Linked DNA regions of Nothobranchius furzeri. The protein of the gene in region 2 purifies or fractionates together with the protein of the main gene of each other region. This does not show direct contact. Links are inferred from orthologs where the notes say so. Each region holds a gene or a part of one and is shown on either strand. Other genes may lie near its edges.

Region 1 (5,194 bases), on a different chromosome or scaffold from region 2:
CAAGTTTAGAATTGATTTTAAAATTTTAGTTTTGACTTTTCAAGCTCCAAAATATTTATCAGACCTTTTAATCCCTCACTCTTCTGGCCGCACTCTACGGTCCTCGGGTGAAAACCTACTGAAGGTCTCTAAGACCAGATTGAAAACTAGGGGGGACCTGTCCTTTCAAGCTGTAGCTCCCAGGCTTTGGAACGCCCTGCCCCTGTTTCTTCGTGTGGCCACTTTGTGATTTTATCTGTGAAAAGTGCTATATGAATAAAGTTTGACTTACTTACTTACTTACTTACTTGCACTTGAATACATCATATAAAGGTGTGACAAAGGGCAGCATTTCTTTCAGGCTGTCAGAAGTTCAGATGGAGGGACCGCAGTTTTAATTCTTTTCTATCCCTTTGGCCTCAGAGGGATGAGCTAAAACAACACGTCTGACCCGCTGACGCCTGGTCTCACGGCTAACAGGACATCAAAGATTTGCTGCAAAAATGTTTTGCTATTGACTCCCCCGATGGGTCGGGGCTATTCACTGTAGTACACACATTAGTCATGCGGTCAACAACACACAGTATTCACCATTTCAGTTTAGTCAGGGAATGAGAAACTAAATCATTTTATCTTGTCGTTCAGTCAAATCCCGTTTCCTCAATCCTGATCCAGTGAAAGATTCTCACCAGTATTCCTGCGGCTAACGCTGAGAACTTCGTTTCCATCATCACGCGGTGTGTAGTTTTTCCTCCATGATGATTTCCTCCTCTGCCCGGTGGCTTCATGAATCAGAGCTAACAGCAGCAGCCAGAGCCCCAGTCCTCTGCTCAGACTTCCCAGCAGCAGCATCTCAAACTCCGGCTTTGGAAGGTCTGCATGGAAAATACAAAACAAACATCCCGCTTCAGCATCTGGGCAGGTTCCCCAGGGCCCTAGTGACACTTCAAACCCCTTAGATGATGATGATGATGATGATGATGATCGTGCAGCAATAAACACTTTTACCATCATTAAATAAGTAAAATGAAAAATCAGCTTCTACCTGATTCAGATGTGATGAGTTACTGTGGCCCATGCAGACCGTGGGAGAAAGGTTCTGCGCCCCGTTTGGATCGGGTCACTAAGCCCAGACTGAGATGAGCTGATACGCTGTGGCTCAACGCCAGGACTTCCCTCAGCTATGAATGAGCAAGAGTCATTCCTTTAGAAGCCTGTCTGTAATTATTGGCTACGTAAATAAAGTTTTTTGTGTGATTTTTTTATAATGGTGATTGCAAAAGCAATAATAATGATTGTATAGTTTCTAAATCCTATGCTTAATCCAAACAACATATTTTAATTTGTATGTGGAATGGTTACCTTGCAGTGTTACAAATAATTTAATAAATAAAATAGATTATTTCAACAAATAACTTAATCTACTTTATCTAAAAATAGTTTCAAAGTTTTTCAGTAAATAAAAATCCTTAATAAGTCACACAATCTCTATCTGTTATAATGTTTTAATCCTTCCATAAGACAAATAATTATTTGGTTTGAAAAAAAAAAGAAGAAGAGGCAATTCGTTCCCTGCGCATTGCACGCCCTCTTGCGGGGAAAGTTACCTTGCGGAACTCTCTTCACTTTAATCAGTACGGAATTATTTTGGTGTTGCACACAACATCCGTATACGACATGTGTGCATCAAAACATAACTCGGTCGGCTTTTTAAAGGTTCTACATGTAAGTACTAATTTACTGTTTTTGTTAATTTTATCACTTGGTAGCGAAATCGTTTTTACTGCTGGGTAAATTAGTGAAGGAGAACCTGTTTAGCACGTCCTTCACCCGTTAGCCTTAGCTTAGGTAAGCTAGCATACAAGCAAATTTGGTACTTTTCTTTCACGAGCTTGTGCAACTTTTGGATTTTAGTAGATGGGTTGAACTTTGGGCCCACAATGATTTCTTCATTTAGATATCAGAACTTGTTAGCTAGTTAGCATCTCGTGGGTGACTCAACTGTTTGAAATCAGTTGCAAAGTTTCAGTAGTAGATGTCGGCTAACTCTTCACACGTTGACCTTAATTGATTGACTTTATGAGAGATTACTGCGGAAAAGTCTCAAGACTTCCAAATGCAATCGAATTTATCATAATCTGTGGTCATGATCAGTATGTTTTTATCTTTCTGGGTGAACACTATCTTCTTAGAATCCCAGTAATCACAAAGAAATAAAAAGAGGGTTTTAAAAATAAAATGTGTTGGAGTGAAACTATATTGAAGAACTTCAACAATGATTCTAAATCTGGTTCTTTGGTAATGAAGCCCTGACAAACAAACATGAAACATTTTGACTTCATGCTATGTTTATAAGTCACAATAAATATAAGGATCAACGCGTTTCTCATTTGTTCTATATTATTGAACCAGATTTTGATAACTTTTGAAATTATAAAATGTGATGTTGTAAAATATTACAGTAGTAAAAAATTTTACAAAATATTTAAACTCATTTTGTGTCAAAAAATAATTGATGCATGAATAATTAGCTGTCTTTAGTCATTTTGACATCTGTCCCCCTCCAGCAGAAATACATACACCATCTCATGTAGACCAGAACTGCATCATGCTGCACTGCATTATTTTTACTATTACACAATTGCCTGCTGTGAGATGACATCTACCCACTGCTGTCTGATTCACAGTCTCCCATGTCTTCTGTCATATTTCCAGATTGTTGAAAGCAGACTGTGTTGAAGCTCATTTTGCTCCTTCTGAATCATGAGTGGCTCAAAGCCGGACATCCTGTGGTCTCCTCACCACCCGGACCGCTACGTCATCTGCGACTCTGAACTAGGACTGTATCGCATTGGGCCTGTGGGTGGCACAGAAACAAAGCCTGGCACTCTGCCACTCTCCGAAGAAACTGCTGCTACTTTATTGGCTATAAACTCTGACACCCCTTATATGAAATGTGTGGCCTGGTACCCGAAGCACGAGCCTGAGTGTTTACTTGCAGTGGGACAAGCTAATGGCAGAGTTGTGCTCACCAGTTTGGGCCAGAGCCACAACTCTACATGTAAAGAGCTAGTGGGGAAAGAGTTTGTGCCCAAACATGCGCGACAATGCAACACTTTAGCCTGGAACCCTGTGGACAACAACTTACTGGCTGCAGGGCTGGACAAGCACAGGGCCGACTTCTCTGTTCTTATTTGGGATATTAGCAGTAAGTTCGCCCCAGAGACCAGCGTAGCAGCTGAGAAAATCCGTATCTCAACTGTGGATTTGGATTCAAGCATGGTAGTGACTAAGCCATTGTATGAGCTTGGCCAAAACGATGCTTGTTTGTCTCTGTGCTGGTTGTTTCGAGACCCCAAGCTGCTCTTGGCTGGTATGCACAGGAACCTTGCAATATTTGACCTGAGAAACACCAGCCAGAAGATGTTTGTCAACACCAAGGCCATCCAGGGCGTGACAGTTGACCCACACTTCCACGACCGTGTAGCCTCCTTCTTTGAGGGGCAGGTGGCTATCTGGGACTTGAGAAAATTTGAGAAGCCTGTGCTCACACTTACAGAGCAGTCTAAACCTCTTACCAAGGTATGAAGGAGCCTTTTCCTGTTTTAAAGAGACATTTATTTAATGCTTCATTCTTTAGACTGTAGCTGTGTTTTGCTGTTTCCATTCTCAGGTGGCATGGTGTCCAACTCGTACCGGCCTTCTGGCCACGCTCACGCGTGACAGCAACGTCATCCGCCTGTACGACATGCAACACACTCCTACGCCCATCGGGGATGAAACAGAGCCCACCATCATCGAGCGGAGCGTGCAGCCATGTGAAAGCCAGATTGGCAGCTTTGCCTGGCACCCCTCCTCTCAGAACCGCATGGTGGTGGTGTCCGCGACCAACCGAGTCATGACTGATTTCACCGTGTTCGAGCGCATCTCTCTGGCCTGGAGCTCCACCACATCACTCATGTGGGCGTGTGGGAGACACTTATACGACTGCGCCGAGGATTCGGCCGAAGGAGCGGAGAGCACCGTTGAGAAAGACATCGCCACTAAGATGAGGGAGCGAGCTCAGTCCAGGTACGGACACGACACTCTGCAGGTGTGGAGAAACCACCTGCTGGCTGGAGGGAATGACCCCCAGCTCAAGTCCTTGTGGTACGATCTGTCCTATATCCTTTATGGTGATGAAGTGACAGAAATACTTGTGAGTAAAGGTAGAGCTTTTGAAGTAGCAAATCAACTTCCAAAAGTTTTAAAGCATTTTATGAAGACCGAGTTCAGAGAGACGCCGTTTTTCCTTGTCGTTTTTAAATATGGTCAGTCACTGAGTTTCACATGAAGGCTAAATGTGGAAATGATCTAACAGAATAGAATACAATAAGACTTTATTGTAATTGCTTCATGAGCAACTAAATTGCAGGTGGTCCACCCACAACTTTACTCAGAACACACAGGACATGAAATGTACACAGAACATATACACAGGATAATGTGCTAATTAATTCTATATTTCATGTAGGAGTCCCAGTTTATGGTTCTGGTTGGGGGGGTTTCAGTGGTTGATGCTATTTGATCTGCGTATGGCCGAGGGGAAGAAGCTGTTGGTGAGCCTAGTGGTGTGCCATCTGATTGACCTGTAGCACCGTCCCAAGGTCCATTTCCTTCATTAGCTGCCAATAGAAAATAGATGGGAAAACTCGGGTTAGAAAAGCCTGACGTTTCCACGTCAGACTGTAAATTTGCATTTTGGCTCATGACAGGGAAGGCTATTGTTGGTTTACCGTCCAGCAGAGCACATCTCAGCTAGTAGAAGCTAATCGTCAGCATTAGCAACTCCACCACACTGCAGAACTACATCAGCCTTGTGTTGTTTGTGGAGATAAAACAACCTCGCAGATCAGAGCCATTGGTAGAGTCCCGTTGCTGTTAGCCAATCAGAGATGAGATGTCTGAATCTAATCCATCCAACTAACTTCTAGTTCCTGAAACAGGAGTGCCATGGTAAACAAAGCCTTGCTCTGCTAACGGCTTCTAAAATGGAAGAATTTGGAAAGTGTCTTGCTGGACTGATGCAGTGTTTGTGAAAACACGCTAGCCTTTTCTCTTAACTTGTAAAAATAAACAAAACTTCCTGAAATCTATGAGGTCCGTGACACAGACATTTGTCAGAGATCATCTCTGCTGCTGTTGCTGCTGCTGGCAGGCAGTGTTTTTTTTTGTT
Region 2 (5,160 bases):
CCACATAGAAGAACCTGCATGTGTGGCTAAAAGGTTCATGGAGGGTGTGAGAGGAGGAGGACGTTAAAGGAGAGAGCATCGATCCTCATGGTGGAGGAGGTGGACTTGTCTGTCAGGGAGAAGATGATGCCTAGAGGAAAGGGTGAGGGATGAAGAGGAAGAAAGATGAAGGGAAAATAAGGAAATGGGAAAATAAAACAGCTGAAGGAAAAGAAAAAAATGATGTTTTACTGTGAGGAGAAAAAACATAAACCAAAAATGTGATTCATGTAAATAACCCAAAAAGAACATCTTGTTTATCTTCTACTCTCTGGTGGAGGATCCAAGTGCTGCAAGTGGGAATTTATTTACTTTTTTTTAACTAGATAAATATGTAAGTGTGCTGCTTGTCAATAAACCATTTATTTCATATAAAATTGCAATTTGGGGCTATAAGATGTTTTATCAGTGGGCTTGATAAAACATCTAGCTTCCATCCTACCACCTCACACATCACATTACATCACCTCACATCCACAATATCGCATCTCGTTATTCATATCTTGTCATGTATAAATATTAATTTTGTAAAAGAATTAAATTAATTTCATAAACTATATACCTGACTCTGTCTGAATTACAGTAATACAAAGTGTGTTTATGGTCCCTGAACAAGTAAAAGTAACTATATTCTTCTGATTAAACATTCAAAGATCAGTCAGGTTGATATTTCATATTTATATGGAATAATTTGTGTGTGTGTGTGTGTGTGTGTGTGTGTGTGTGTGTGTGTGTGTGTGTGTGTGTGTGTGTGTGTGTGTGTGTGTGTGTGTGTGTGTGTGTGTGTGTGTGTGTGTGTGTGTGTGTGTGTGTGTGTGTGTGTGTGTGTGTGTTACCGTGGTCTGGTGCCTCATATCCACACCCATCAGCGCCTCGCTAAGGAAGACGAACGTGTTTATTGCAGCTATGTAGCGAGGGTCATACAGAATTGCTTGAGCCCTCATCTGCAGCAGCAAGGACCTCAGTAAAAGGCCGAACCTGGTCCTTGGTGGGTTAGGATAAAAACAGCTGTCAGGTCAGACTATTGTGGGTTTATGGCGTCACCTTGTGGTCATCTGGGGTAACGACGTGATAATTTGCTGTCCAAAAATCACAATCTGAGAGACATCTTCAAAAATTGACTATTATTACCAGTTGATATTTAGGAGACCTGAAAAAGAAGCACTTGTTCCTCTTAAAATAATGTTTTTTTTTTGTTTTAATGTTGTATTGAAATGATAAAGGGAATGTAATGTATCGATGTGTTCTGTTTTCTGTCTTTTTCTATTTGTTTACGTGAATTCATGTTACTATTTTATTAGTAATTATAATATGATTACAGACAGGTGTAAATGTACTGTGTGTGTGTGCGTGTGTGTGTGTGTGTGTGTGTGTGTGTGTGTGTGTGTGTGTGTGTGTGTGTGTGTGTGTGTGTGTGTGTGTGTGTGTGTGTGTGTGTGTGTGTGTGTGTGTGTGTCCCAAGTATGTTTGTTTTACACTGAGTAGGAGATGCTCTGTATCTCACTTTACACCTGTATGGTGACAATAAAGGTATTCTATTCTATTCTATTCTATGTATAGAGGGTCTTTGTACATTTAAGTTTCCATCAATAATTTTAGCTTTTAGCTCAAATAAACTGTTTCCTTTTTATTGTTTGATTATTTTTTGTTTGTTTGTTTGTTAAATGAAGCGTTTTTAAAGTTTTTATTATTCTTCTTTTTTAATTCACGCAGAACTATCATTTGGCGTTTTGTTTTACCCGGTAGGAAGTGAGGTGGGACTCGGTGGAGGAAACGGCTTCTGTACTTGTTGCCACGTCGGAATTGTGAACCTTGTGAAGTTAGTCGATAGAGAACAGGGGCTTCTTGTTTACACGGTTTAGCCACAGCCATGGTGAATTTCGTCACTTTTTGTTTTAGTTTCAGCTCAAAATATTCTAGGATGTTGATTTTATGTTTACATTTTGCTGGCTAGTCTTGGTAGCTGTCAATCCATTAGCACGATCGCTAACGGCAGGAGGCTAATCTGTCTGGATATAGTTTTATATTTGCTTGATTTTGTTCTTATTTGTTTGTCAATTGCAGGTTTCCGTTATAAACACGGTGGACACTTCACACGAGGATATGATCGTAAGTGTTTATGTTTTATCCAGTTTTATTTTTATCTCTGATGCTAAAAGCTAACAGTTAGCGGCTGTAGCTTTTATCTTCATTCAGTACCACAAGTGTAAGTGTTCTGTGTAAAGCAGCAGTTTTTAATTTAAATATGTAATACTGTTGGGATGTGTGTTTTGAGAAAGGAGTAGCACATTGTTTTAATTAGTTTAGTGCTTTTAGATCGTTCAGTCAAAATGTTTGTCTTAACTGTACCAGATGCTATAGTGTAATAATTACAGAAACAGTGCTATGTGGATTATTCTGTAGTGTTGACTGTGAAAATTTGTTAAATAGTCTTTAAACTTCACTTAATCGGCGTGTTTTGCATTTTCGTTTTAGTTGTAGGGAAAATCTAGCCGAAATCATTCACGTATTCACATTCTCCCTAAAAAGATAAGATTAATCATGTTCTCAATGTTTCAATTTAAGGAAATCAAAACCAAAACAAACATTCAAATGATGCAGTTTATGCCGCACATTTGTTATGTGATGGTGAAAGATTTAAGGAATGGGTTTCAGTTTAGCACCATCAGTTCATTTATGAATAAACCAGGTGTCATGCTTCCATTGTTTGGTGCTTTTGCTGCCCCATAGAAATCCCCACCAACATTCCTGGTGTTGCTTTGTTGTCTGTTTCAGCATGATGCCCAAATGGACTATTACGGGACTCGACTCGCCACGTGTTCTTCTGACCGCACCGTTAAGATCTTTGACGTCCGCAATGGTGGACAGATCCTGGTGGCAGACCTCAGAGGGTAAGAGATCTAAGCTTTGGAATATGCACAGAAATTTACGTAAGTAGAGTTGTCAAGTGAATGTCAATACACTTCCATTTATTTCCTAAAGATTTAATCTTCACCTGTTCTGTAATGTATTTTTATTTATTTATTTGTGTGTGTGTGTGTCCTGCATCATGTAGCCACGAGGGCCCTGTGTGGCAGGTGGCGTGGGCTCATCCAATGTTCGGCAACATTCTAGCATCCTGTTCATACGACCGCAAAGTCGTCATCTGGAAGGAGGAGAACGGCACCTGGGACAAGATGTATGAGTACACTGGACACGAGTCATCAGGTAGAGTTCTCCATTATTCTAGTGCCGGGGTGTTCATTTCCAAGCCTGGAGGGCCAGTATCCATTATGTTTTAGTTTTAACTGTTTCAACACACCTGATTTCAATCAGCAGGTGATTAACAGGCTTCTGCAGAGCCAGATGAGCTGCTGCACAGGTGATTCAACCATTGAATCAGGTGTGTTAGAGCAGAGAAACTACTAAAATGTGCTGGATACCGGCCCTCCAGGACCGGAATTGAATATCCCTCTAGTGGTTTAAATGTGCTCCTCCTCCTCATTCTGCTAATCCATGTGGCCTTCTTGAAAGAAGTTCAGGTGCTAGTAATGCTGGAAGAAGTTCCGTTTTTCTTACAGATAACAAATGTTTTGATCTTAATGTTGTAATTTTATTTCTTCTTCTGCCCGACAGGTCAGTGTAATGCACCAAAGTACACGTCTTGTTTCAGATATGTTCTCTTTTTTTTTGCCAACACCTTTAGAAAAATGAAATATTCAGATTAAGTTCTGTTTCTACAACATTCTCTTTTGTTTGAGTACATTTCTTTTTCCCTTTCTAATTGATCCTTCCTTTTTAAGAAATTACAAAGAAATTCATGTTCATATATTGGGGCTGAGAGATCAGTTTGACTGAATAGTTTTCCACACAACTTGATCTCGTCCTTAACTCTGTCTCTGTGTTTGCAGTGAATTCAGTCTGCTGGGGTCCGTATGAATTTGGTCTAATCCTAGCCTGTGGCAGTTCAGATGGAGCAATTTCCCTCCTCACATTTACTGGTGATCAGCAGTGGGACGTCAAGAAGATCAGCAACGCACACACCGTGAGTTAAAAATGAAATGGTTTTCCTAAGTTGTCACCAATCTTTTAAACTTTATTCTGTCTCACCTTTTCTAATTTAGTGTTTCTGTGTCTTTTGGGGCGTGAAGTGTATCTTTAGAATAATTAAAAGCTTTATTTTTTGCTTCAGATTGGCTGTAATGCAGTGAGCTGGGCTCCTGCTGTAGTTCCAGGCAGCCTGATCAATCAGCCATCAGGTCAGAAACCAAACTACGTCAAACGCTTCGTCTCTGGCGGATGTGACAACCTGGTGAAACTCTGGAAGTAAGTTGCTGTTGAAAATCTGTCATCCTGTATGGATAAAAAAAAGAACACTTTCAACAGTGAACGTCAGATGTAGCTAATATTCTGTGGCCTGAATAATGTTCTGCCTGCAGAGAGGAAGACGGTCAGTGGAAAGAGGACCAGAAGTTGGAGGCGCACAGTGATTGGGTCAGAGACGTCGGCTGGGCTCCTTCTATTGGTCTTCCCACCAGCACCATCGCCAGCTGCTCCCAGGTCCGATTTCTTTTTTTTTCTTTTTTTTCCCCCCCGTGTCCTGTCTGGCTGTGAAGCAAACAGAATTGATGTCTGAATGCTGGTGACAAGCCTTACAGATTTACTCTCAGGTGGAGCATCAAAGCGTCTGCTTTTAATGTCACACCTGGTACTTAAAACTTTATTGTTATTGTTTTTGAATGCTTTGTAATTCCGACCAGACACGGAGTCAGAGGTGAAAGAGAAAGAAAGATACAAAAGGAAGAGAGGGGGGGCAGGTTGTATTTCTAAAGAAATCTCATGTTGAATTTTTCACCTCATCACCAGGTGGAGCCATAGATGACATGTTTCAGAAAATATTTAGAGAAATTAAATGTTAAATATGGAATAGGGACACTCTGGTGGTATTGCAACAACAGGACTAATTTTCCAGCCGTTGGGATGTTGGTTCACTGCTGACATGTTCCAGCACCGTGTTTAGAGACAAATCGTACAGAATATAGACTAATTTCTACTAATGAGTTTATTATTCATCATTAGAACATCTTCTGGACTCAGAATCAGCTGCTTGACTTGTCAAGTCAGCCATTTTACACAGTCCCA
Region 3 (3,277 bases), on a different chromosome or scaffold from region 2:
TATTCATACAACTTCAAAAACAATGTTTACATCAAATAGATAAAAAGACATAAATAAATAAATAAAAACACTAAAAATACAGAAGCAAGTCCACCCCACCAAATCAACATTGATGACCTTAACAGATATAATTTTACCATCCCAAGGCTTCCATTATATTATACACTTACTTTTCATACCATATCACAACACAATTAACCCTTTAAAAAAATTTTTTTAATTAAATAATATCTAAATAATAAGTTCTCTTTCTACACACAACACAAATGTTCTTCTAATCTAACTCCAAATACATTTTTACCCCTAATATGTGAGATTTCTTTTGGGAGATGGTTCCACTCGTACATCCCTCCATACATTGCTGTATGCTTTAAAGCATCAGATCTTTTGGTCATGTAAATTCATCTTCTAAGGCATGTCTTGTATCATACAAGTGCTTATCTTTACTAAATTCCAGAGACGTATATAAAATAGATGGCATCTTTGTCTTCCTAAGCTTCCAAATAAAAAGAAGCAGAGCTGATTTACTTCTCGTGTGTCTGAATCCATGTCGGCAGGTTGTGGGACCTGGAAGGGAATGAGACGTGTGTTCTGCGACTTCGCTCTCCGGGCGTCAGTGTGTGCTGGCATCCAGAGGAAATCTGTAAGGTAGGAGGGACTTATTCAGTCCTTGTTGCTTATCATTCCATCCATCCATCCATCTACTTATCCGGAGTCGGGTCGCGGGGGCGGTTGCCTAAGGCGAGAGGCCCAGACTTCCCTCTCCCCAGCCACTTGGGCCAGCCCCTCCGGGGCAATCCCAAGGCGTTCCCTGGCCAGGTGGAGACATAGTCCCTCCACTGTGTCCTGGGTCTACCTTTAGGTCTCCTCCCGGTTGGACGTGCCTGGAAAACCTCACCAGGGAGGTGTCCAGGAGGCATCCTGACCAGATGCCCGAACCACCTCAACTGGCTCCTCTTGATTTGGAGGAGCAGCGGGTCTACTCTGAGCCCCTCCCGAATGACCGAGCTTCTCACCCTATCTCTAAGGGAGGGCCCAGCCACTCTGTTGAGAAAACTCATTTCAGCCACTTGTATCCGTGATCTCGTTCTTTTGGTCACTACCCAAAGCTCATGACCATAGGTGAGAGTAGGAACGTAGATCGACCGGTAAATCGAGAGCTTCGCCTTCTGACTCAGCTCTCTCTTCACCACGACAGACCGGTACAACGCCCGAATCACTGCAGATGCAGCACCGATCCGCCTATCGATCTCACGCTCCAGTTTTCCCTCACTCGTGAACAAGACCCCGAGATACTTAACTCATTCACTGCAAGCCGTTTCCTGATCGCTAACGGCCTTCGCTGCCAGCGTTTCTCACCGTTTTTACTGTTTTTTTAAGAGTCACAGAACGTTGCGCGCTAGCATGATGTCGATGCCAAAACAACCAAAACAAAGAGGAGACTCACCTCTTACATCAGGAAGAAGCCGCGTGTTTGGAGCGTTATCCGTTCTTTCATAATCCGTTGTTGAATTGTGATCGGCAGATGCTTCTCCGGTTCGCGCCTCACTTTTTTTACAGGAACGGCCCAAAACGATCTCCAAACACATGGATGGTCTGCTTCCTGATCATGTGATCTGTGACGTATGCGGATGAAGATCGGCTTCAGGGCTGAGATGCTTGTTCTATCAGCGCGGGGACTCGTTCCAATGCTCAAACAGTAAAAAAAATGCAAATGACGACTTTAGTCGTCATTGGCAGTGAACGGTTGGATCTAAAATGACGACTTTAGTCGTCAATGGCAGTGAATGAGTTAAACTCCTCCACTTGGGGCAGGACCTCATCCCTGACCCGGAGAAGGCATTCTACCCTTTTCCGAATCAAGACCAGTAAAATACAGTAAATACTGCTTTACACAATAATTACATTTTTTTACAATTATACACTTGAATTACACAATAATACACTTAAACTTACTATGTAATTACCATGTAAGTACTTAGTAATTAGGGGACTGTAAAAGGAAGCGTTACCGAAATCTCACCTAAGGAACGGCCGTGGTCTGCTTCCACAAACGGACGCAGAACGGTTTGAGAAGGAAAGGGCTGGAACGTTTGGGTCAAAGAAGAATATTTAAACGGTGCAGACGCGAGTGCTCCAGCCCTTTTCTTCTTCTTCGCAAACGTTATTTTTTCATTTGTGTTTCTATTTTCGTTTTCATCTCATTGTCATACTCATCTATTTTCATTATGGCACCGCTTCTTAGAGGACCAGCGGATCATTACTTCTCTATAAGTTGTTCCTGATGTGTTTCCACCACTCAGTGCTTCCATTCACCAGAGTTTTGTGTTCTGATGGCATATCTTCATCAGTTAATGGTGGCAGAGAAGAAGGGGACGATTCGATTTTATGACCTGGTCACCCAGCAGGCCATCCTGTCACTGGACTCTGGACACTGTGGACCGCTGATGTCTGCCGACTGGTGCCTCACCAACACGATCAAAGTCGGCGGCGTGGCAGGCACCGACTGGCTCGTCTGGGACATAACGCGCTCCAGGTTAGAGGCGGTTTGCTGCTTGATGCGTGTTGTGGAATACATCCCCTCATGTGTTGTTGTTTGCAGTTACCCTCAAGAGAAACGGCCAGCCCACAAAGACAAAGCCCGACTATTCAAGTAAGTCTATAAACGTTCTGTTTCTGTTTTCTTAAACAGTTGTTAAAAATGCACTCTTTTCTCAAGGTGGTCTCTTGCTAATGAGAACCTCTTTGCAACCACCGGCCTTCCTGGTAAAATCAACACGCAGGTATTCATCCACCATCTTGGCCACCCTCAGGTGGGTGCAGTCTTCTCTAGGGCTGTCACGGTGTGAAAATTTAACCTCGCGGTTATTGTGACCAAAATTATCACGGTTTTCGTTATTATCGTGGTATTTTTGTTAAACGTGTTACATTTTCAGACAGCTAAATAAACCCTGTATGTCAGGAAATATTGTCCTCGGTTTGTGTCTAAATTTTTGCCTAAAATGTGTTATTTTGTAATTATGTTGTTTATTTGTTTACATTTTTCCGCTTTAGTCTTTAAAATACCAATATTTGCCCATAACTTCTTATTTTATGTCTGTTTGATGTCATCATTCTAAAAATATTAGACCAGATGATACTCAGTACTCAAGTAGACTTCTAATCAGATACTTTTTTACCCTTACTTGAGTAATAAACCCTATATCAGGAAAATATTGTCCTCGGTTTGTGTCCCTCGTGGGAGCCCCGTAATGCATAGCGTCATTTCAACATGGGG
Region 4 (4,606 bases), on a different chromosome or scaffold from region 2:
CTGAGAAGATCACCAATGTATGATGGTGCTTGTCCGTGAAAGGCCCTAGAAACCAGGATCTTGAAATGAACCCTGCAGGGTGATGTGGGTGTACTTTGACAATTTGAAGCCTAGCACAGGTATTCTGAACCACCTGCAGACGGTTCAGGGAGGTTTTGCTCAGATAAGTGAAAAGCCAGTTGCAATAGTCTAAGCGTGAGGATATTCCTGAGATGGAAGAAGGAAGAGTGAACAAAGAACTGACATGAGAATCCAGGGTGAGGGCTGGGTCAAAGGTCACACCAAGATTCCTGACAGAGGGTTTGGTGTGAGAAGCAAGCTGATCAAGAGACTGACTTTGGGAACCAGCTTGTCTGGGGCACAGATGAGGATCTCAGTCTTATCTTCATTCAGCTGTAGAAAGCTCCCAGCCATCCAGGTTTTAATAGAGTCTAAGCAGGTGTGTAACAGCTGCAGCTTACACCTCTCATGGAGCTTAAAGGAGATGTGCAGTTGGATGTCATCTGCATAAAGATGGTAGGAGACTCCTTAAAAGGAGCCCAGAATGTGCTGAAGAGGAAGCAGATAGAGGAGGAAGAGTAGAGGCCCCAGCACAGAGCCTTGTGGGACACCATGAGTGAGGGAGGTGGTGGAGGACCGAAACTTGGAGAGAACCACAGAGAAGAAATGCTCAGACAGTTAAGAGGACAACCACTCCAGAGCAGATCCTGATAGGCCTACCTAGTCTCTCAGTCTATCCAGTAGCAGGTGATGGTAAAGAAGGTTACTTTAAAGCAGGGGTGTCAAAGATGCGGCCCACGGGCCGGATCCAGCCCGCAAGTGGGTTAAATCCGGCCCGTGAGATGGTTGTGTAAACTTTATTTTCATACGTTACAATGTAGAGTGAAAATAAACTCATCTTTGTGAGCAAGTTTTCTCTGTAATGAGTATAAATAAAACAAAGCTGCGCTCAAGGCTCACACAAGAACTTGAATCACAACCTGAAGTTGGCTGCCACTCCTGAGTGGTAGCCATGTGACTTCTGATATTGATGTGCTGGTGAAAGCTAAAAGATGTAATGTAAAATGAGTCAAATATACTTTAAGTGCTGCATAAAACTGATCTAGCCATGTGATCTGTAAGCTCTTTGAATCACTAAGGAATGTTTTTTTAATTTATTGATTTTTTTTCTTCAAAATTTCAAGTACACTTCAGGTGTTGTACTTGTACTATTTTGGATACACTGTCCTCAGGCTTCATCCTTGTTTTATATTGATTGTATTAAAACAAAGAAAACAATCTGAAGTTGTTTTTAATTTACCGGTCCGGCCCACTTGGGACTAGATTTCCCTCAATGTGGCCCCTGAGCTAAAATGAGTTTGACACCCCTGGTTTAAAGACTGAGACCCACTGCACTGAGAAACAAGGATTTTGCATCATGATTATCTCTCAGTGTTACCTTTTCACGTTTGCCCTTGCCAAATAAAGCTTCCTTCAGAGTTAAATGAACGTTCATATTTTAAAGATCCTCTTCCCAGCATGCCTGGTGCATTTTTTTACTGATAAATTGAATGGTGCCTGAACAGTTCAAAGATGGTGTTGATCAAAAAGAGCTCTCGTTTATCGCTCAGAGTGAGACCTCTGCCTTTTTCCTGCTTCACGTCTTGACGTGGCGCCGGCGGACGCCATGTTGTTTTGCTTCGTTGTCACCAGAGCTGCGCCCTGCTCGGAGCTTCGGAGTGGCTGTGAGTATTTACCTGTATGATCCTCAGGTGTGTCCGCCGGACCCGCAGCTCCACCTGGACTATGTCAGGTGTGTGCTCTGGAGTCACGACCTGCGTGACATTAGCGAAGCTGCGTTTAGTTCGTGGAACATGAGCGAACAGTTAGCGATAAACAAGCAGAGCCAGACAAACGTGGCGACGGTACAGTTCGTAAAGAAGTTCAACAGTTTGTCTTCATGACGCAGCATGGCTGCATCTCACGTTAAAGGCTGTGGGCTCACTAGGAGAAGTCTTGTGGTCACGTCCAGGTAAGACTGGACACCAGACAGGACCAGGTGTCTGTGAGCATCTGTCCAGTAGAGACCTGGACCTGGACTCTGAGGAGACCTGGACCCTGCCACCAGGTCCAGAGCCCCCCGGACCACCCAGACTCGGACTGCAGCTAACAACTGGATTAACCAGCCACTCTAAACGATTAGTTTCCTTCCTGTAAACTAGCGGGTTTTGTGTAGCTGTTTATTTGTTTACTGTAGTTTAGTTATAACCACAACATTAATGATCGTTTTTATACTTCAGTTACGAAACATCAAAACCAGAAACGGGTTCATTTGTGTTTCAAGAGTTTTTCATTACAAACTGGGTTTATTAGACATTTAAATGTTGTTTATTCCGTCATTAATCTAATCAGCACCACCAAGTGTTCTAAAAGCAGCAGTCAAGGCGGCCCAACATGGGCCAGAAGGACTGTGAGGAGGTGGTCACCTTGAGCTGCAGGGATGTTCTCCATGAGCCACATGGAGATGACATCAGTGAGTGTGTGACTGATTATATGTACGTCATCAGCGAGGTGCTTCCCCAGTAAGGAACCCTGGATCACCGCTGACCTGAAGTAAAAGGGCGTTATTGAGGAATTTACTAAAACAGCTCAGAGTCGAGGTGAGAAAAAACCAGGAGGTGTGCAGGAAACAACTGGGAATCCAGTTCCAGCTGTTGCATCTTCCACTTGGTCATGAATCCTACTGCTCCATTTGTTGTCAGCCACATCAGGAGATACTGGTGCTCCCCTTACACCACCCCATCCAGCCAAATCTTAATTCACCTATTTTAAGTGACACACACACACACACACACTTCTAACGGTTCCTTTCTTTTGCCCTTCACCGTCCTACTCACCTTTGCATTAGGGCTGCACCATATTAGGAAAACCTGCGATAACGATGATTGATACTGCGATGACGATATTACTTGCAATAAATAAAAACGTAACTCAAAAAATGGCAAAAAATTCCTAAAAATGAAAAAAGCTAAAGATGCGAGGAAAGGAAAAAAAATGAACAAGAAAAAGCAATCTGTGAATCCCGGGAAAAGCAGAATCGGCAGAAAGAGCAGAACAAAGCTAACTCAGGTGTTTGCTAACCATCAAAGTGAAGTGCCGTCCGCCTCGGGGGCGGGCGTCTGACCTATGAGAACCCACCCAATTGGCCAGATGGGTGAAGAGCTCTATTAGATTTGTTAAAAAAACATCATGCTTCAGTTTGATTGACGGAATGTGTAGCAAACATTTGAGTGATTTAACATTTTGACTTTATGGGTTCTCCTCTGTAAAGAATCACCACTCTTAGCCTGGACCACACTGTGTTTTCAGCTGTAGCACAGGACTGGTTCTTGTCACACTGTGAGGACTCTAGAGAGGTGGACCGCTGTAGCAGAACACGCTAACGAGCGTCTTCGCCGGAAAGCGTCTGTCACTAAAAGCTGATGGAGACCCAAGACAACGACGAAAAGAGAAAACAGAACCACTGTTAACACTTTTTATTAGACTCTAAACTGATCTCCAGAAAAGTCCACGTGCTCCTGAGTGTAGCCTCCACTGGTGCTAATTTCACTCGTGTTGTCCTCTCATCACCAGCTGTTCGCGTCGTCCCCTGGGGGTATTTTCATTGGTCGATTACAGAGCAGGGTCATAGATCTTCAGACACTGCTTGGAGACAGTTGGAGGCTAGTCTGTTCAAGATGAGGGACTTGTCTAGGATAGCCGAAAGCACGCGGTGTGGTCCAGGCATTACCAGACGATTAGTGTTTGCTATTGTTCTGTTGCTCTCTGACGTCCCCTCTCCTCTCTCTCTCTCTCTCTCTCTCTCTCATAAAGCTTTCACCTGACAGAGTGACACCTGTGGCGCACCCACCTGTTCTGTCATGGCCACCTTCTCAGAATACATTGCCCAAAATGAGGAGCGTGATGGTGTTCGGTTCAGCTGGAACGTGTGGCCTTCCAGCCGGTTGGAGGCCACCCGAATGGTGGTACCAGTGGCTTCTCTCCTCACACCGCTGAAGGAGAGAACCGACCTCCCCCCAATTCAGTATGAACCAGTTCTCTGCAGCCGAGCCACGTGCCGTGCAGTTCTCAATCCGCTCTGGTAGGCGTCACTCCTCTCGTTGTTGTCCAGCTCCCACCAGTTCACTAGCTGTTGGTCTTATTTCTGTCTGCCTCTGTGGTTCAGCCAGGTGGACTACAGAGCCAAGCTGTGGGCATGTAACTTCTGCTACCAGAGAAACCAGGTGAGTGGCGTGTCCTCCACTGGCTGGATGGGAGACCATGTTGCAGACACACTAACTCCATCTGTCTTGTCCAGTTCCCTCCATCCTACGCTGGGATATCGGAGGTGAACCAGCCCGCTGAGCTGCTGCCTCATTTTTCTACTATTGAGTATGTTGTCCAGGTGAGACTAGGACACGGTAAGACCGTAACGTTGACCCCTTGTTCCTAGAGGTCTAACCCACTCTCCTCTTCCTAACCAGCGGGGCCCTCAGATGCCACTGGTCTTTCTGTATTTAGTGGACACATGCATGGAGGATGAGGACCTGCAGGCTCTAAAGGAGTCCCTGCAGATGTCCTTGTCTCT
Region 5 (5,237 bases), on a different chromosome or scaffold from region 2:
ATGCTAAAATGCTCAGATGGGAATCATTTCTTGATTTATTCTGTTACATCTACAATGTTCTGTGTGTGTGTGAGGTTTACAACTTCAGAACACCTGCATGAGACAGGTGTTAATTACAATCTGCCAGAATGACTCACCACCTTCAGATTCCTCCAACACCGTTAAAAATGATCAAATACTGAACATATCCTGCTGTTGACAGCGTGCGCAAGCCAGAGCGCTGAAACTCGGCGCATTATTATGAAGCTAGGGCACATGCGGAGGACACACACACACACACAAGCAAAATATACTTGTTTTCCAATTACATTTATTGGGCCCACCCACAAAGGAGTTTCTGGCTACGCTAATGGTGACATATGACAGACTTCTCTGAGCTCCGCAGCCATTACACTTTTCACCTCGCGCACCCCCTAGCGGCAGCTCGCGCACCACACTTAGGGAGTCCCTGCTCTAAGGTAGAAAAGAGAGAAAAAAAACTCCAGATGCATTTTTCTGATTTTGTTCCCTTACAAGGATATTTATGCCCTGTAATTATATCGGCATTTAGAGGGGCAAAAGGGTTTCCGTTAAACAAACACTGTCTCTGAGGAGAGATCCATCCTGCAACAGTTAGTATGTTCAAATGTGTCTAGGAGGGATTTTTAGGTCCAGTGTTAGTCTGAACAATCCACCCACAAGCTGACAGCTCTGAAAACAAGTTATCAAACCTGCCAATAAAAGGCACGTCCTGAATGACACCCTGCAGCAGGATCTCTGATGATGCAGCATGATAAAGACTCGCTGCCTGAGTAGCTAGACTCCACCAGGACTGGTGTCTGATCCTGTCAGCAATCTTCATGAACGGAAGCTCACATCGCAGTCGAGTGGTTTGGGTCTCATCTCTGCTTTAGGTGACAGCAGATGATGTGGTTCTGTTAGCATCTTCAGGCTATGATCTTTAGCGTGCACTAGCATGCTTCACAGCTGGGGGCCGAGGGCTGGGATGAGAATCAGCTCCTCTAAGACCGATGTCATTGTTCTCAACCGTATAAAGGTGAAACACTCCCTCCAGGTTGGAGCAGAATAATTAAAGTATCTTGTTAACTAAGAGATGGATCCAAGTAAAACAGAATCTATTAACATCAGCTGGTAAAAACGTTTATAAATGGAGCAGCAAACAGTGTTTTCATTCAGTTAGATGCAATGGTTGCAAATGCAGCTTCATGAAAAGTTAAACACTTAGCATGGAAGCAGATAGCAGCTATTTTTAGGTCTGATGGGATTTCCTTCAGATCAAGAGTCGACTGTTCAGTTATCTGAAAAAGTGCTGTGCTCATTTTCTAATGATGACAACAACTTATTATCTAAAGAACGTAAGCTTTGTTTTCTCCAGATAAGATGAATACGATGAAAATGGGAGAAATTCCTGTGTTACGCCCGTTTTCTTCATTTAGTAGCATTGCTGTGACTCTTGGATGATTAAAACTTATTGATGTGCTGTTTACTTTTGAATCAGTTGCAAGCAAGACTGACCTGATTTCTGATGAAGTAGCCCTCTCTGGTTGTGAGTTAGAAATAACTGTCTTAACACATTGGAGCAAGCTGTTCCAGGTCAAAATGTCTACATATTTCAGCCTGTTATAGCAACAAAACAAGCTTTATCCCCAGTGAAAGCATTAAATAACAAAATAAACCATTATTAAAAGACCTGCAAATGAAACCATATTTGTAGGCCTGTCATTGTGCGGCTTCCAAACGTCCGAAGTTTTGTTTTGTTTGGCTCACACACAACGGTAAAATGTAGACTTCTGTTATTTACTCACTAAGTAAAAAGATCTGTTGGATTTGAAAGATCTCATGTCAGAATAACACATGGATGCTGAGGGTGCTGTTCTGCAGCATCTCTTACTTATGAAGCATGTTGGAAGTAAAACTAATATTATGTAAATATTAAATAAAGTCTCAAATGTTGGGATGAACTCATGTGTTCCTACAATACAACTGTACTTAACAGAACCTCTTCCTAAAATAAATTTAGGTTTTCTTTTTATTTCCCATCAAATGATTTGAAAAATTTGTTGTACATCCAGTATAAAATCCACACACATCCATTTAAGTTACAAGTAATAGTTAACCCAAACAGGGGAAATGCCCCCAAATTGTGAATATTTAAAAAAAAAACTGTTTTGTACATTTTAGTCCTGAAAAGAAAGTTCTACCTCACTGGTGAACATGGCACAAAAGTAGTCGCTGCAAGCAGCCAAGACGATCCGGTGAGCAGGAAAATCCGCGTTGTCCACCCTCAGAGTGATGTCGCAGAGTGTGTTACTCTTGCGGAGTGAATTCATTGCATTGAGGATGGATTTAGCATGGGAATTTGTCATGATGTCTTTGGGAGCCATGCTGTTTGGAGGATCCGTCATAGATCTCAAACTCCCACAGGAACCTAAAATAAATACATCAAGACAAATAAACGGAATTCTTGCAGACCACAATGCCATCTGGGAACAGGAACAGAGACAGGAAGCACCGGATTATTGGATTAATAATAATAATAAAAACTTTAGCATTGGCTCATTAGTTAAAGATTATTCAGGAACCATCATGACTACTGAAAAAACATTTTTGATGAATCTGTAGAAATCATTAGATGTGTGTGTATTGGTTTGTTGTTTTGTTTTGGAAGAAAAAAACAAGGAAAGACATCAAATAATGTCACATCTGTCAGTGGAAGAGTCCACAAACAGGTATTATCCATCCTTAGGTATTTAAAAGCTGATATGTTGATTAAAACCAGACAAAAAAAAAAAGAATAAAACAAACGTATTTGTCAAACAAAAACCCATGTTTGAAACTACAAGTACATTTAGTTAGAACCAGGATTTTTATTTGATCGTGGTGATGAAACTTACCGTGAAAAGATCCTAACACTTTTTCCACCACTGGGAGGCAATAACTATAGCTACACATGAGCTAAAAGCAGCACTGAACAACAGCTGACGGCTAACGCCAACGCCACACAACTTCAGAAAACAGCAGCTACAAAAGCGGCCTGTAGGCCAGAGGGAGACAAAACAAGAAGCGACACACACACAAGAACTTGGCAAGAATTTGCATTATACCTGCAGGGCAGAGTCAAAACGTCTAGCTAAGTTGTTTTGCTAACTAACTGTAGCAGCACCAAAGTCTCAGTTCAAACCGCCCTAATCCATCATGACCTCCGTCAGGTCACACCAACACACGGCCTCCGCGGGGACGGGTCTGTTCAAAATATCAAAATTATCTCATATTATGTCCCAGAACGATCTTTGAACACCAACAATTTAACGTTGACTAAACTGCAGTGGGTCACAGTAGCGCCACCAACAACATAGTTGGCAAGCAGATGTATCATATAATAGTTGGACACGAACTTTCAAACAAAAATCCAGAATTCACTTGTTCGTAGTAAAATGAATAGCCTTTAGTCTGTGGTTGTTGTTGCTGTTGTAGTATATGTTGTTACATGACTATATGTTGTTACATGACGTTGTTACCTGATGTTCAGACATGATGTTGTTACTTGATTTTGTTACATGATGTTACTTGATGTTGGTACCTGATGTTATTGCATGATGATAGTACATAATGTTGTTACCTGATGTTGTTACAAGATGTTGTATAATGTTGTTACTTAATGTCACCTGATGTTACCTGATGCTGGTACCTGATGATGTTACATGATGTTACGTGATGTTATTTGATGTTGTTACCTGATGATGTTACATTATGTTGTTACCTGATGTTGTTACTTGATGTTGTTACATGATGATGTTACATTATGTTGTTACCTGATGTTGTTACTTGATATTGTTACATGATGATGTTACCTGATGTTGTTACCAGATGTTGTTACATGATGATGTTACATTATGTTGTTACCAGATGTTGTTACATGATGTTATTATTTGATGTTGTTACTTAATGTTGTTACCTGATGTTGTTACCCGATGTTGTTACCGGATGTTGTTATATGGTGTAGTTACTTGATGTTGTTACTTGATGTTATTACCTGATGTTGTTACTCGATGTTGTTACCTGATGCAAAAACAAGGTAAAATAACACTTGCTGTGTTAAAAAGAACAGTAATGCAGTAGAAATGCAGAACAATTTAATAAAACAATGTCAAATGTTATGACATGTTACTCATTTCTATGCACAGTGTAGAAGTAAAATGCTATTTGTGACCAAAGTGCCATTTAAAAAGATGAACTCAAATGTCAACTCACTTGTGCAGTGGAAATATGAACTAGACAAAGACATGGACAGATATGTTTGCCACATCTGAAGGGGATAACCTAATATAAATTAATGGAAAGCTGACATAATTTGCTTCAAAAGTTTGTTTTCCCTGACAAAGTCTCAGTTATGGAAAACTTGAGACACAATTTTAATATTGTGACAGTTTTGGTTATCATTGGTTTTGATTTTATAATTCAGATTGTCATTTTGACAGAAATATTTACACTGACGTTCAAATTACTTTTTAAATGTAATTATATTAAATGTTAAAACAGCTTGCCAAATTCACCGGCAGCCGGGGCGATGACGTACACAGTGCGTGAGTGTGCGTGCGCGCTCCCCAAAGAGCGAGACGCGTTTTTTTCCCAGAAATATGATGCCTCCCGCGCGTCCTCGCCTGTTGGTCGCTGCTGTTTCAGAAATGGTGAGATGACGATTCTGTGTCAACAGACTTACTTTCCAGACTTGAAGAAGTGCTGTGAATCCTACACAGATATCTCACAGCAGCAAATTAAAACAAAACAAAACACATTGTGCTCTTTTTAGCCACCCAAGGACGACAGCTACACCGTGTAGGAGGAGCTAGCGGCGTGTTTCCGTTAAGAGTAGGCCGAGATGGCGATCTAAGCAGCCGCACTGAATGCGAGCTAACAGCGGCCGAAGATTGGGCAGCTACTACCGGAAACCGATTCACTACTAATTCTTTAATTACCGGGAAGCTGTGGTTCTTCGTTTTGGGCTGGGCGTAAAGAAAGAGTGGCAGCTGAACTGGAAGCAATGGAAGCCGAGTTCTTGGAAATCGATGAGAACGAGAGGTGGAGCGCCATTTACCAGGTAGGAACTATCGGCTGATCATCAAGGTGGAGACACGAACCGTAGGTGAAGCTGTCATTTTAGGCCTGCTCACAACGAGTCAGCAGATATATAAGGTATTAATAATAATCAATGTTTTTATTAGTCACCGGGACTTTTC
Region 6 (4,606 bases), on a different chromosome or scaffold from region 2:
TTAAAAATGACAAATAATCCTTAAATACAGTTTCCAAAGGTCTTAAATGACCAAAGAACCAACAAACAAAATCATTTTTTTTTCTATTAAATTTAGTGAATTTCTAGTTAGTATTCAGCATTTTCTGTGTACGATGTTGGCGTAAGCGGAACCGTACGCATTCGATTGGTTGTGAAAGGGGACTATTTTTAGATGAGCACATTAGCTGGTTAAGCTAGTGGGAGCTTGCGCCATGGGGAAGTGCAAATTTGATGGTAACTGGATGGTTAATCCCACTTTTGTGATGTGGTTAGTACCGGTTCCAGGCAATAGCTGGAAATGATAGCTTAAATTTAATTTCAAAAGTAGCTTAAATTTGGTCAAAGTGGCCTTAAAAAAGGTCTTAAAAAGTCTTAAATTTGGCTCCCTTAAACCTGCAGATAACCTGGTAATGTGTCGGTGGGATTAAAGAGATTCGTTAGATTATTTAATCACAATTTATTCTCTCAGTTTTGTAATCTCGTCAGCAACAACTTCAATTTAACGTTTTTATAGAGGTCACACGTGTGTGTAAGTTCTCTTCAAGGCCGCTGAAGGTCACGCAGGTGACATACGAACAGGTGAACCCCTAAAAAACCGTTTCAATCAGAACTCCTCTGCAGTGGATCAGCTCTTTATCCTGGCTAGGGGGCGGGGGTGCACACGTGGTCATTTTCTCTAGTCCTGATTTGAGTCGTCAGCTTCAGCTCCACCGTTTGGACCTGTGAGTGCTGAGCAGTGGCCGGATTTGCTCTGTTCTCCTAGGGTGGGAGCTTCATCGTGGCATCAGTCAGGAGTCAGCTGCTGAGAGTGAGCGCAGATTCCTCCGGGAAGCTTCAGTGTCGAGCTCTGCAGCAGGGTCAGGGTGTGCTCTCTGGCATCGGCCGCCGTGTCTCCAGCTTGTTCGGCATCCTCTCTCCACCAGCCGATGACGTGGTGAGTTACGTTAGATCCTCCGTACACTCTGGGTAAGTTCCCTTCCTGGGTCATTGCCCAGAATCTCTCAGAGACATTATTATTAATGTCTGAGCATCAGACCGACCCAACAGTAAAGTCGGCTGCAGCATTGAAAGTGTCTCCTTTCCTGAATGTCCTTCTCTCAGCTCCACAGCGTTGTGTGGGTGGGGAGAACCAGCTGCTTGTACACCCTGACCTCCTCCAGGCTGAGTAAGTGGGAGGTGGACGACAGCTCGGAGCACCAGATCCTCAGCTGGGACACCTGCAAAGCTCTAAACGAGAGCATTGTTGAGTCCATTTGGGTCAGTACCAAAGCAGCAGCCGTGCTACACCATCCCAGGTGTTTGTCGTCAGTGTCCTACGATCTACTGTAGTGCTAGCGTAAAGGACATGGGGGGGGGGGCTGATATTCACACAATAGATGTGGTGGAAGGTTTGACATCTGTCATGTCGTCACAAAATACAAACGCATCTTTGTGTTCATTAAAGAGCAAGTCACCCCCTACCTGAGTATTACTCCGCTCCCACTTCCTGTTTGAAAAATACAACAAATGCTGTTTGCTAGCAGACCGAGGGGGCGGAGCCGCTAACAAATACACACACAGGCTCACAACGACATTGTGACATCATATGGTACTAGCTAAAGTTCTAGGGTACCTCTTAGCCAATAGCAGTGGCAGATTTAAATTCAAATGCAGTGCAGAGTTTTTACCTGACGACGGCACAACACTGACAGTTTCAGGCAGAAAATTTAAAGTTTAACTAAAATGCTCTGAAGTGCAAAACTGTTGACTGCACATGTCTGCAGCACGATCAGACACACTTTTATGTAGTTTATCAAAAAAAAGGTGATTTTGGGGGCGACTTAAGCGCTGACAAACTGTGGTGGTAGACGTGTCTCACGTCTACACGATTCCACCAAGTCTGTCCACTCTGACTGACACGGAGATCTCTCTCTCTCTCCAGGGTTCAGAGAGCAGCTACGGTGGCTTGAAGAGCGGGGCAAACGTTGCATACCTGGACATGAAGTTAAGCCAGTGAGTGTGTGTGTGATATTTACGTACTTCCTTCCTGTACTCGGGGTATCCGCGGGTCCTTAAAAAGTCTTAAATGAGCTTTTCCTGTTTCCATGTTCAGCCTGTATGGAGAAACTCCGAGTAACCGATTATAATCAGAAACAAGAAGTACAGTGATGCCTCGTTTATCGCGGTAGATGCGTTCCAGACCTGGCCGCGATAGGTGAAAATCCGCCAAGTAGGGACACCATATTTACAGTACAGTACTTTATTGAATTATTGTATGATCACATTCTCTTTTTGTGGGTAAAACTCAAGAAAAACATTTTTTTACTTGGTTTTTTTATAGTTTTATTACAAAAAGTGCATTTTATGATGTAATTGATGAAAAAAAAAACAGGAATTTCTTGATATTTCGCATATAAAAATACCGCAAATCGGAAAATTTCCCTTGAATAAGGCTCCAAAGAAAAAATCCGCGAAGTCGTGAATCCGCGATAAACGACCCGCGAAGTAGCGAGGGATCACTGTAAAAATGTTTTTTCAGGGAACCACGCCTTCAATGTTTTTGACAGTTGACTGCTCAACCTACGACCACACGTTTTGGACGCCGAGCGCTTCAGCGTGGTGCGTGGAAGGGTCAGGGGAGCATTAAAGTCACGAGAGTAGACATCTAAAGGGAACTTCTGTACAGGGAGTGAGCGGGACGGTATTTGTGTGTAGACAAGCAGACTACATGCCATGTCGAGCAACCCGCTGAAGACTTCTGCTCAGTTGCTGGGACCAGCAGCTGTCCTCATGTTCATGTCCTGAAACGTTCTCCTAGCATCACCACTGCTGAGGTGTCCGATACAAACAGCTGCTGGTCTTGGACTCGTCCATCTCCAGCCGAGCAGGTTGAGGACAGAATCAGCGTGACGGTGTGTGTGTCGTGTGCAGCCCGTCAGACTCTGTGCTGTGTGTGTGTTCTAAGGTCTGGCCTGGTGGTTTTGGCTGCAGCCTGGCACCCGTCGGACACCCCGTGCCTGGCTTACTTCTGTCTCGCCACCCTGCATGACGATGGGTCCACCATTTCTGACCAGTTTACCGTCCAGGTGACCAAGTACAGCTGTGTATTCCAGGTCAGTGTCTGTTGAAAGAACGATTCCTATTTCGTCCAACAGGCCAGAATCTCACTTACTGGACTCGTGGATTCATTTTGCTGCTCAGCTCACGAAGAAGAAGAAGAAGAAAATGTGGAAAGTTCAGGATTTTGTCCACCATCACTACTGGATCCAAACTTCTAGAGTAGTTGGTTTGAAACAGTTTAAGGTGTTGTAACCTCAGCTACCAAGACATTGGGAAGCAATGCATCTGAATACACTCTTGAAAGTAGCTTGTGTCCTTCCTGGAGCAGCTTCAAACCAACAGAGTTGACCTTTTATTTATGAGTGATTGTAGGTAAGAACCTGCAGGGGTGACTGCTTATCGAGAGGTTTGCTTCAGCACCCTGCAGAGACAGGAACACGGTTTCATGCTGCTGTTGTTCATTTAAACTCACTTTCTCTAAGAATTCGGTCATGTACAGCAACATTTGACAGGGTGTGTTGTTTATTGTAATTGTCTCCGTTTTGATCAGCTGCCTGGTTTTTCCAGACTAAGGAGGCTCTGCAGGCTACACGCCTGCTGTTGCCCTGGTCCCCCAGCGCCACCGCCTTCCTGTACAACGAGGAGTTGGTGTTTGCTTGTTCGACGGGCACCAGCAGGGCAACGCTGCCAGATGAGAAAATCAACTTTACCTCACCAGGTGAGAGAGGGCAGCAGCCATGATTTTTACCTGCCATTTCATCTCAGACAGCGATTGTTACATGAGGCCGCACGCTGTTAGGAAAACGCACGCCTGTCTCATTATCAGTAAATATTAATAATGAACGGTAGGATTTTGGCCTGTGATATAGAATTACTTAAAGAGCAAGTCACCCCCTGCCAGATTCTTACTCAACTCCCTCTTCATGTTTGAAAAATGCAACAAATGCTGTTGCCTTGCAGACCGAGAGGGCGGAGCCGCAAACCAATACACACACAGGCTCACAACCACATTGTGACATCATAAGGACCAGTTTACATCATAGTATACCTCTTAGCCAATAGCAGTGGCAGATTTAGGCCCTGTCCACACGTAGCCGGGGATCTGCCAAAACATAGATATTTTTCTACGTTTTGGCCTGTCATCCACACGAAAACGGAGTTTTTTCACACGAAAACGGATCTTTTTAAAAACTCCGGCCAAAGTGAAGATCTGCGTTTTCTCCGTTTTGGGTGTCTGCGTGTGGACGGACAAAACCGGAGTTTTAAGGTCCGCAACGTCACTTTCCGCGACAAAAACATGCTGACATCACGTGTGCGACCTGTGTTTACACTAGCCGACATCATGGATGCCCTCAGAGCTGCGCTCGCTTTATCAATTGTCCAAGCGCTTTCTGCTTGTTTGTTTTTGCAAGCGGAATTACTGCTCCTTGCGGAAGACCACAGACGAAGGACGAGGTTAAGAACGGGGGAAGTACTGCCGCCTACAGGTCTGGCATGTCCTTAACAACGTATTTATCCTGGTACGTGTGGACAGGTTTTTTGGAGGG

Evidence for each region.
Region 1: the proteins of sec13 (region 2) and mios purify together in Homo sapiens (affinity purification with mass spectrometry; 5 studies listed by BioGRID and IntAct, counting the BioPlex papers as one, with this or other methods). This does not show direct contact. The link is inferred for Nothobranchius furzeri from reciprocal best matches to the Homo sapiens genes SEC13 and MIOS.
Region 3: the proteins of sec13 (region 2) and nup37 purify together in Homo sapiens (affinity purification with mass spectrometry; 5 studies listed by BioGRID and IntAct, counting the BioPlex papers as one, with this or other methods). This does not show direct contact. The link is inferred for Nothobranchius furzeri from reciprocal best matches to the Homo sapiens genes SEC13 and NUP37.
Region 4: the proteins of sec13 (region 2) and sec23a fractionate together in Homo sapiens (co-fractionation; 3 studies listed by BioGRID and IntAct, with this or other methods). This does not show direct contact. The link is inferred for Nothobranchius furzeri from reciprocal best matches to the Homo sapiens genes SEC13 and SEC23A.
Region 5: the proteins of sec13 (region 2) and kelch-like protein 12 purify together in Homo sapiens (affinity purification with mass spectrometry; 3 studies listed by BioGRID and IntAct, with this or other methods). This does not show direct contact. The link is inferred for Nothobranchius furzeri from reciprocal best matches to the Homo sapiens genes SEC13 and KLHL12.
Region 6: the proteins of sec13 (region 2) and nup133 purify together in Homo sapiens (affinity purification with mass spectrometry; 4 studies listed by BioGRID and IntAct, counting the BioPlex papers as one, with this or other methods). This does not show direct contact. The link is inferred for Nothobranchius furzeri from reciprocal best matches to the Homo sapiens genes SEC13 and NUP133.

The regions. Positions count from the first base shown.
Region 1 is NC_091745.1:63,836,516-63,841,709, forward strand, and holds the start of mios (GATOR2 complex protein MIOS), read left to right. Parts: upstream 1-1,612; 5' UTR 1,613-1,704; intron 1,705-2,694; 5' UTR 2,695-2,742; coding exon 2,743-3,561; intron 3,562-3,652; coding exon 3,653-4,142; intron 4,143-5,194. Other genes in the region: col28a1b (collagen, type XXVIII, alpha 1b), read right to left, coding at 669-831. UniProt on the Homo sapiens protein: As a component of the GATOR2 complex, functions as an activator of the amino acid-sensing branch of the mTORC1 signaling pathway. The GATOR2 complex indirectly activates mTORC1 through the inhibition of the GATOR1 subcomplex.
Region 2 is NC_091743.1:73,558,245-73,563,404, reverse strand, and holds the start of sec13 (protein SEC13 homolog), read left to right. Parts: upstream 1-1,779; 5' UTR 1,780-1,909; coding exon 1,910-1,912; intron 1,913-2,103; coding exon 2,104-2,148; intron 2,149-2,814; coding exon 2,815-2,930; intron 2,931-3,094; coding exon 3,095-3,246; intron 3,247-3,929; coding exon 3,930-4,063; intron 4,064-4,210; coding exon 4,211-4,344; intron 4,345-4,457; coding exon 4,458-4,578; intron 4,579-5,160. UniProt on the Homo sapiens protein: Functions as a component of the nuclear pore complex (NPC) and the COPII coat. At the endoplasmic reticulum, SEC13 is involved in the biogenesis of COPII-coated vesicles.
Region 3 is NC_091741.1:39,610,090-39,613,366, reverse strand, and holds part of nup37 (nucleoporin Nup37), read left to right. Parts: intron 1-557; coding exon 558-648; intron 649-2,351; coding exon 2,352-2,536; intron 2,537-2,602; coding exon 2,603-2,653; intron 2,654-2,719; coding exon 2,720-2,813; intron 2,814-3,277. UniProt on the Homo sapiens protein: Component of the Nup107-160 subcomplex of the nuclear pore complex (NPC). The Nup107-160 subcomplex is required for the assembly of a functional NPC.
Region 4 is NC_091758.1:16,454,562-16,459,167, reverse strand, and holds part of sec23a (protein transport protein Sec23A), read left to right. Parts: intron 1-1,633; exon of another isoform or gene 1,634-1,792; intron 1,793-1,874; exon of another isoform or gene 1,875-2,011; intron 2,012-3,852; 5' UTR 3,853-3,899; coding exon 3,900-4,120; intron 4,121-4,204; coding exon 4,205-4,262; intron 4,263-4,336; coding exon 4,337-4,423; intron 4,424-4,502; coding exon 4,503-4,606.
Region 5 is NC_091755.1:52,045,423-52,050,659, forward strand, and holds the start of kelch-like protein 12, read right to left. Parts: upstream 3,181-5,237; 5' UTR 3,105-3,180; exon of another isoform or gene 3,035-3,104; 5' UTR 2,953-3,034; coding exon 2,895-2,952; intron 2,429-2,894; coding exon 2,202-2,428; intron 1-2,201. Other genes in the region: ptpn1 (tyrosine-protein phosphatase non-receptor type 1), read left to right, coding at 5,042-5,098. UniProt on the Homo sapiens protein: Substrate-specific adapter of a BCR (BTB-CUL3-RBX1) E3 ubiquitin ligase complex that acts as a negative regulator of Wnt signaling pathway and ER-Golgi transport.
Region 6 is NC_091747.1:67,787,419-67,792,024, reverse strand, and holds part of nup133 (nuclear pore complex protein Nup133), read left to right. Parts: intron 1-783; coding exon 784-954; intron 955-1,121; coding exon 1,122-1,277; intron 1,278-1,941; coding exon 1,942-2,012; intron 2,013-2,964; coding exon 2,965-3,112; intron 3,113-3,626; coding exon 3,627-3,777; intron 3,778-4,606. UniProt on the Homo sapiens protein: Involved in poly(A)+ RNA transport. Involved in nephrogenesis.